Macaca mulatta: one gene and its partner. The protein of the gene in region 2 interacts with the protein of the main gene of each other region in a pairwise test. Links are inferred from orthologs where the notes say so. Each region holds a gene or a part of one and is shown on either strand. Other genes may lie near its edges.

The links.
Region 1: the proteins of XRN2 (region 2) and TARDBP interact in binary tests that used the Homo sapiens proteins (3 or more experiments, as listed by UniProt). The link is inferred for Macaca mulatta from reciprocal best matches to the Homo sapiens genes XRN2 and TARDBP.

The regions. Positions count from the first base shown.
Region 1 is NC_133406.1:229,708,439-229,712,088, forward strand, and holds part of TARDBP (TAR DNA-binding protein 43), read right to left. Parts: intron 1,757-3,650; coding exon 1,593-1,756; intron 186-1,592; coding exon 45-185; intron 1-44. UniProt on the Homo sapiens protein: RNA-binding protein that is involved in various steps of RNA biogenesis and processing.
Region 2 is NC_133415.1:62,749,487-62,753,936, reverse strand, and holds the start of XRN2 (5'-3' exoribonuclease 2), read left to right. Parts: upstream 1-1,629; coding exon 1,630-1,704; exon of another isoform or gene 1,705-2,388; intron 2,389-4,450. UniProt on the Homo sapiens protein: Possesses 5'->3' exoribonuclease activity. May promote the termination of transcription by RNA polymerase II.

The DNA.
Region 1 (3,650 bases), on a different chromosome or scaffold from region 2:
AGGAAGTTTGTCAGCAAAAAATCCCAAAGCACAGACCCAAGTACCTTAGAATTAGGAAGTTTACAGTCACACCATCGTCCATCTATCATATGTCGCTGTGACATTACTTTCACCTGTGTTTCATATTCCGTAAAACGAACAAAGCCAAACCCCTTTGAATGACCAGTCTTAAGATCTTTCTTGACCTAGAAAGGATGATTTAAGTTTACTCTAACAGTACACATACACATTCCACGCCCAAATCATAGTTCCTTAAAAAACAATTTGAATGGTTTTAACTGGATGCAGTTGTTTAAAACTTAAACCAAGTTAGTCTTCAGAGTAAAAACAAGGAGGTTAATATTGAATCCATACCGTGTTAACAATAGAGCAAAACTCACTTATACAACAGAAATGTTTTTGAGTTCTTAAAAAAAAGAGAGATGGGGCCAGGCGTGGTGGCTCACACCTGTATTCCCAGCGCTTTCGGAGGCTGGATAACTTGAGCACAGGAGTTAAAGTCCAGCCTGGGCAACACAGTGAAACCCTATCTCTACAAAAAATACAAAAATTAGCCAGGTATAGTGGCATGCGTCTGTAGTCCCAGCTACTTGGCAGGCTGAAGCACAAGAATAGCTTGAATCCAGGAGGCAGAGGTTGCAGCAAGCCTAAATTGCACCACTGCACTCTAGAGCCTGGCTGACAGAGCCAGACCCTGTCTCCAAAAAGAAAAAAAGAGAAACTGAGTCTGGATTATGTTGGCTAAGGTGGTCTTGAACTCCTGGCCTCAAGCAATCCTGAGTCTGGATTATGTTGGCTAAGGTGGTCTTGAACTCCTGGCCTCAAGCAATCCTCCTACCTCAGCCTACCAAAATGCTGGGATTACAGGCATGAGCCACCACAACAGGATTTTAACAGAATGTCTTAGAATGAATTCAAAGATAAAAAGCTATTATCACCTAATTCCCTTAAGCCTTCACGCAACAGCAGGATTTTACAATATTGAAGGTAATAATATAGAGTACAAGATATGTGTGTAAATATAACAAATATTGGAAGTATCATTTGTGTAACAGGAAGTACAGTGCCATTAAAATAACAAGAATATGGCCGGGCACGGTGGCTCACACCTGTAATCCCAGCACTGGGAGGCCAAGGCAGGTGGATCACCTGAGGTCAGGAGTTCAAGAACAGCCTGGCCAACTGGTGAAACCCTGTCTCTACTAAAAAATACAAAATTAGCCAGGCGTGATAATGTGCGCCTGTAATCCCAGATACAGGAGGCTAAGACAGGAGAAATCGCTTAAAGACAGGAGAAATCGCTTAAACCCAGGAGGTGGAGGTTTGCAGTGAGCCAAGATAGTGCCACTGCACTCCAGCCTGGACAGCAAAGTGAGACTTGGTCTCCAAAAAAAAAAAAAAAGTAACAAGAATGTGGCTAAGGCATCATGGCTCAGCACACTGGGGTTGAGGTGGGAGGACAGTTTGAGCCCAGGAGTTCAACACCAGAGCATAGGCAACATAGTGAGACCCCATCTCTATGTATACCAATAAATAAATGCCAGATGCTCATTCACTGTAAAGAAAAACTGTTTGATGCAATCGAAGTTTACCTGCACCATAAGAACTTCTCCAAAGGTACTAAAATACTCTTTCAGGTCCTGTTCAGTTGTTTTCCATGGGAGACCCAACACTATTAAATCGGATGTTTTCTGGACTGCTCTTTTCACTTTCACTGCTGATGAAGCATCTGTCTCATCCATTTTTCTTTTGTTATCTAAATAAAATGAGCAGAAACCTTTTAGACTTAGCACTTCTTTAAAAACACTACCTCCTACATCCAGAAATGAGAAGCAAAAAGAAGACTCTAAGAAGAGTAAGACACTGAAAACTTGCAAGAAGTGATTTTTGCTCTAGAGGACAGAATAAAGGCTTAAGTTTAGTGTCTGAGGTGCTTTTCTGGTGCAAATTCAGTGATTTCCAATTTTGTTTTTTGTAGTACTTCCAGATTACAATCTCTCTCAAAAGGTTTATCAAAACAAAAATAATTCTACTTCACTTTGACTTTAAGTATCAGCAACTTGTATCTCCTGATGTAGATTTCACTTTTATCTTTCCTAAACATTCGACAATACACAGCTTTTGCAATAAAATGGAAAACCAGGCACAGTGGTGTATATGCCTGTAAGTTCCAACAACTCAGGAGGCTGAGGAAGGAAGTTCCAACAAACTCCTGCCTTAGAGTCCAGGAGTTTGAGGCTGCAGGGTGTCTATGAACAGCCACTACAATATGCCTAGGCAACAGAGCAAGAGCCCCCATCTCTAATTTCAAAAAAGAAAAAGAAACCAAAAGTTTGGCTTACTTAAAAAAACATAACCAGCTGGGCATGGTGGCTCACACCTGTAATCCCAGCACTTTGGGAGGCTGAGGCAGGTGGATCACAAGGTCAAGAGTTCAAGACCAGCCTGGCTAAGATGGTGAAACTCCATCTATGCTAAAAACACACAAAAAAATTAGCCGGGCTCGGTGGCAGGCGCCTGTAATCCCAGTTACTTGGGAGGCTGAGGCAGGAGAATTGCCTGAACCCAAGAGGCAGAGGTTGCAGTGAGCCAAGACTGTGCCACTGCACTCCAGCCTGGGCGAGACTTTGTCTCAAAATAAAATAAAATAAATAAATAGATAAAAATACAAAAATTAGCCGGTCGTGGTGGCAGGCGCCTGTAATCCCAGCTACTCAGGAGGCTGAGGCAGAGAACTACTTGAACCCCAGAGGTGGAGGTTGCAGTGAGCCAAGATCGCGCCACTGCACTCCAGCCTGGGTGACAGAGCAAGACTCCATCTCAAAAAACAAACAACAACAACAAAAAACTCCTACACAACCTTAACCTTAGGTTATTTAGAAGAGAAAGGGAGATAATTTTTTTTTTTTTTGAGACGGATTCTCATTCTGTCACCCAGGCTGGAGTGCAGTGATGTAATCTCCCCTCACTGCAACCTCTGCCTCCTGGGTTCAAGTGATTAAGTGATTCTCCTGCCTCAGTCTCCTGAGTAGCTGGGATTACAGGTGTGAGCCACTGTGTCTGGCCTGGAGAGATAAATTAAATGACATTTTTTTCTTTTCTTTTTTTTTTTTGAGACGGAGTCTCGCTCTGTCGCCCAGGCTGGAGTGCAGTGGCCGGATCTCAGCTCACTGCAAGCTCCGCCTCCCGGGTTTACGCCATTCTCCTGCCTCAGCCTCCCGAGTAGCTGGGACTACAGGCGCCCGCCACCTCGCCCGGCTAGTTTTTTGTATTTTTAGTAGAGACGGGGTTTCACCGCGTTAGCCAGGATGGTCTTGATCTCCTGACCTCGTGATCCACCCGTCTCGGCCTCCCAAAGTGCTGGGATTACAGGCTTGAGCCACCGCACCCGGCCCTTTTTCTTTTTTTTGAGACGGTGTCCCGCTCTGCTGCCCAGGCTGGAGAGCAGTGGCACCATCTCAGCTTACTGCAACCTCCACCTCCTGGGTTCAAGCAATTCTCCTGCCTCAACCTCCCCAGTAACTAAGACTACAGATGCAAACCACCGCGCCTGTCTAAGTTTTGTATTTTTAGTAGAGACGGGGTTTCACCACGTTGGCCAGGCTGGTCTTGAACTTCGGACCTCAGGTGATCTGCTCACCTCAGCCTCC
Region 2 (4,450 bases):
TGTCACGGCAGGCGCCTGTAATCCCAGCTACTCGGGAAGCTGAGGCAGGAGAATCGCTTGAACCCGGTGGGTGGAGGTTGCAGTGAGCCAAGATCTTGCCACTGCACTCCAGCCTGGGTGACAGAACGAGACTCCGTCTGAAAAAACAAAAAGAAAACAATAACCACCCCCGCCACACACACACACACACACACACACGCCAAAATGCTGGTTGAGGATTCTAAATGGCTCAACTTGGCCAGCTATCCCTGAACTGCCTATGGTGTGCATGTTCCTATAACGCACCTCCCAGGGAAACCAGAGGGGCTGTTTCCACGTAAAAGGAGGAATTTCACCACAGACATAATACTTTGGAATAGTTTTGACTATCCTTAAGTAAAACACGGGATGACAATTTCTCTAATTTCCACACTAGTAGTTTAAACAAAGTAGTCATCAGACCACAGAGGAGGGGCAATAAATACTGCCTGCGAGGTAACTCGGAGAAATACTTTCACAGAGGCCTCTTGAGGTGAGCATTTAGCACTGTGTGATGTGTGTCAAACCAAGAGGGGATTCAGGGAGACTTCCAGGCTTGAGCAAACGGACAAATAAACCTCCTCTTCCAGACCTCTCCTTACATATGAAAAAAATTCGTTTGAGACCACCAGAAAACAAAGGATAAAAGTATCGTGTTAGAACAAGGACGGATTAAAAATGATCTTTGCTGAATTGAAACAAGCTATGTGCGTAAGTGACTTAACCCCTCTATAACTTGGCTTTCTTGTCATTTACACGAGGGTGCTAACAGTACCCTCACAAGGCTCAAGTGATGATTACACAGGGCAATCCCTTAGTCAATGTCTTGGTACACTGTAAACGCTCAGAAAATGCTGGAAAATCACATTAGCAATTAGTTTATACCCATAATTGTAGCTAGAAGGTTGTATTGGATGCTAAACCCCGGCTAGATTCCATTCGGTAACTATTATAATTATTTATTTGCATAAGTAACAAGCAAATTGTTGGTGCAAACCAGCCATTATTACTGTAAAATACTTTAAAATGCTCCTTTCGATAGTCCAGTTACGTACTGTGGCACAAAACCAGGAGAAACCAGGAAATGGAAATAACGAGTGAGTTTTGATGCTTCGATTCTGTCCTAGATAGAGATAGGTGAGAATGGAGGCAAAAGAAGACATGTTCTTCCAAACAAGAGGTAACCAAACGGGCAAGGGAGACCTCCCCCCGGGCATGCAGAGCGCACAGATTCTGCGCTCAGGGAGCCGGAGGGCTTGGGGCTGGGAGACCCCGGCGGAGCCGCGGCAGAGTAGTCGCCCATGAGCCCCCGCGACTCAGACGCGCTCGGCTTCGCGCTCCGTGGCTGGGACCACCGAGGGCGAGCTGCAGCCTTCGCTACCCAGTCCGCTGCCGGACCCCGCTTCCGACAAGCAGCCCGGCCAGGCCCTTTTCCGCCGCTCTGTCACCCAGCCGAGGATCCTTCCCAGTTTCCCCGGCGGCGGCGCCGTGACGTCACTTCCGGTCTCAAGGGCGCACGTGGGAGGAAGTGCTGGTGCCCTCAGCCGCCGCTCCCGTCTCTTTGGTTACGCTCGTCAGCCGGGCAGCCGCCGCCTCCAGCCGTGTGCAGCTATGGGAGTCCCGGCGTTCTTCCGCTGGCTCAGCCGCAAGTACCCGTCCATCATAGTCAACTGCGTGGAAGAGAAGGTGAGGAGGCTCCAGGCGGCCGCCACACTCGAGCCGGGGGTCCTGGCATGTCTAGGCCGCGGCCCTCGGGCTCCGCCGCCTGCCCCCGGGGAGCCTTGCCGGAGCTCGCGCCCTGCTGCCAGCCTCGCGAGCAGTCGCAGCCCCACACGCGGTGGGACGCGGGCTGTGGGATTCAGGACCCCGGGGGCTAGGGATTCGGGACCCTCGGCTGGGCAAGGGCCTATCTGGTTCTGAACTCGGAGGGCCGCTCCTCCCCTACCCGCTTTTTCCCGGCACCGGAAGGCCCCGCCCACTGCTTTGTTTCCTCTCGAGACCGCGCGTTTTGGGTCTCGGAAGAGGTTCAGAGGCTGTTGAGCAATGCATGCCAGGTCGGCTGAGCTAGCGGGTTACGGATGCACGGATTCGGAGGCCTGCTTTTTGACAACCTTTTAAAGGAATCCCTGGCGGCGAGCTTTTCGTTGTTTATCAGTCGTGCCTGAAAGGTTTTCTCCTAGTGTTCAGGACCATTTGTTGTTCTGGTTAGATTGGGCGCTGAAAGCAGTATGTCAGGTCCAGGACGAACGCTATAGAATTCTGAGAAGTTACCCTTCTCTGTGTGCCCCGACTACTGGACAGGGTGGGTGCTTGTTGAAAATTTCAAGATTGCTGGATATACTCGAGCAGTACAATTTTTGTTGTTAATATGTAAGTAGATTTTTGGCCATTATTGAGTTTTGTTTTTATTGTTTTCATCATTCCGTGCGAGTTCGATTTTGTACACTTAATTAGAATTTCTGGATTGGAAATGTTCGGAGGCACATCATGCGTACCTCACTCCTTGGTTTTTGAAGGCAGTGCTTGCCTGTCAGTGTGAACTTATTTCTGCTTTTTTTTTTTTTTTAAACTTTCTTGGCTTCTATCCAAGGAGGAACCAAAAGCCTTGTTTTAGTGACATTCCCACTATTTCTTGTTTTTTTTTTTTTTTCAAAAAGCAACTGCTAAATTGAATGCTTGCTTCCTTTGTAAAATTTTAATCGAACTTTATTGAACTTTTACGTGGGTTAAACAAAAAGCAACAGTTCTTGCTCTACCCCTTCTCATCCCATTTCTCCACTTTTAACTGTTTTGGTTCTGTCTCTAAGTATACTTATACTTTATCGCTTTTAGATCTGTTGAATTCTAGCTGGATAGGAGAGGATTTAGTCACTTATTCAGCCTCCCTCTATACTCTTAATGGAGTAAATCACTATATATATTTCATTGGTAAGCTTTATAACTAAGTAATTTGCCTTTTTCATTCCATCACCTGTGTAAAGTATCCCTTGACTTAATGCTTTCTAAGGTCGATCTTAGCTTTTCTTCCCTTTCACCTCAAGTTTGTCAGCTGTACTTTGCGCTGTGAGCATCCAAAATTAAATGATCAGGGCTTTGACTATACAGATTTAAAAAGCTGAAAAATCAAATCGGATATTTGAGCATTGACACTGTGTGGATTCAAGTTATGTACTGCGATTTTGTTTTTTGTGCTGCTTTTGTCTTTTTCCCTGGGGATGCCTTTTTTTTTTTCCACTTTACATCTTTCTGCACCCAAACTCTATTTTACCAGGTAGTCTATCAAGAGTCTTTCTTCTTGAAGAGTCCTCCTTGGGGTCTTCTTTATTTTTGTTGCTGTCATACCTGGCTATTCTGTAGGCTTGCTGGAAAGCTGCATCTGGGATTTTATTATTATTATTGCTGTCATATCTTTCTTCAGTGGGAGGTACTGTTTTCTGGATCAGCATCTTTCTTCATTTGTTTTAGAAACGGAGTCTTCTTCTGTCTCTTAGGCTGGAGTACAGTGGCGTGATAGTGGCTCACTGCAACCTCCGGCCTCCTGGGTTCAAGCCATTCTCATGCCTCAGCCTCTGGAGCAGCTAGGACTACAGGTGTGCGCCACCACGCCCAGCTAAATTTTTTTTTTTTTTTTTTTTTTTTAGTAGAGACAGGGTTTTGTCATGTTGGTCCTGCTTGTCTTGAACTCCTGATCTCAGGTGATCCGCCTGCCTCAGCCTCCCACATTGCTGAGATTACAGGCATGAGCCAACACACCTGGCTTTTTTTTTTTTTTTTTTTTTGTATTTTTAGTAGAGACGGGGTTTGCCATGTTGGCTATGCTGTTCTCTGTCGTGACGTCACATGATCCGCCTGCCTGGGCCCCCCTTGTGCTGGGATTACAGGCGTGAGCTATGGCACCTGGCCCGTCTTTCTTCCTTTAAATCTTTTCTTAGTTTTTATTCTTAATTCTTAAGAAATGCTGTGTGGGATGTGAGATTTCCGAGTCATTGTAGGCCCCAAAATAGCTCCATTCTACCCTTATACACGTGAGTGATCATTAGCTAGGCATGGATTTCGAGGTTTTTTTTTTTTTCTTTGAGACAGCGTCTAGCTCTGTCACCCAGGCTGGAGTGCAGTGGTGTGATCTTGGCTCACTGCAACCTCCACCTCCCGGGTTCAAGCCGTTCTCCTGCCTTAGTAGAGATGGGATTTCACCATGTTGGGCAGGCTGATCTTGAACTCCTGACCTCAGGTGATCCACCAGCCTCTGCCTCCCAAAGTGCTGGGATTACAGGCATGAGCCATTGCACCTGGCCAGGAATTCGAGTTTTAGTATTAGGTTCCCTGAAAACTTTGAAAGAAATTGTTCTTTTGTACTCTCTCATCTAGTGGTGTTGATGACAAGTTCGGTGTTAATGTGATATATTTATTTAACCAGCAGTTATATAGCATT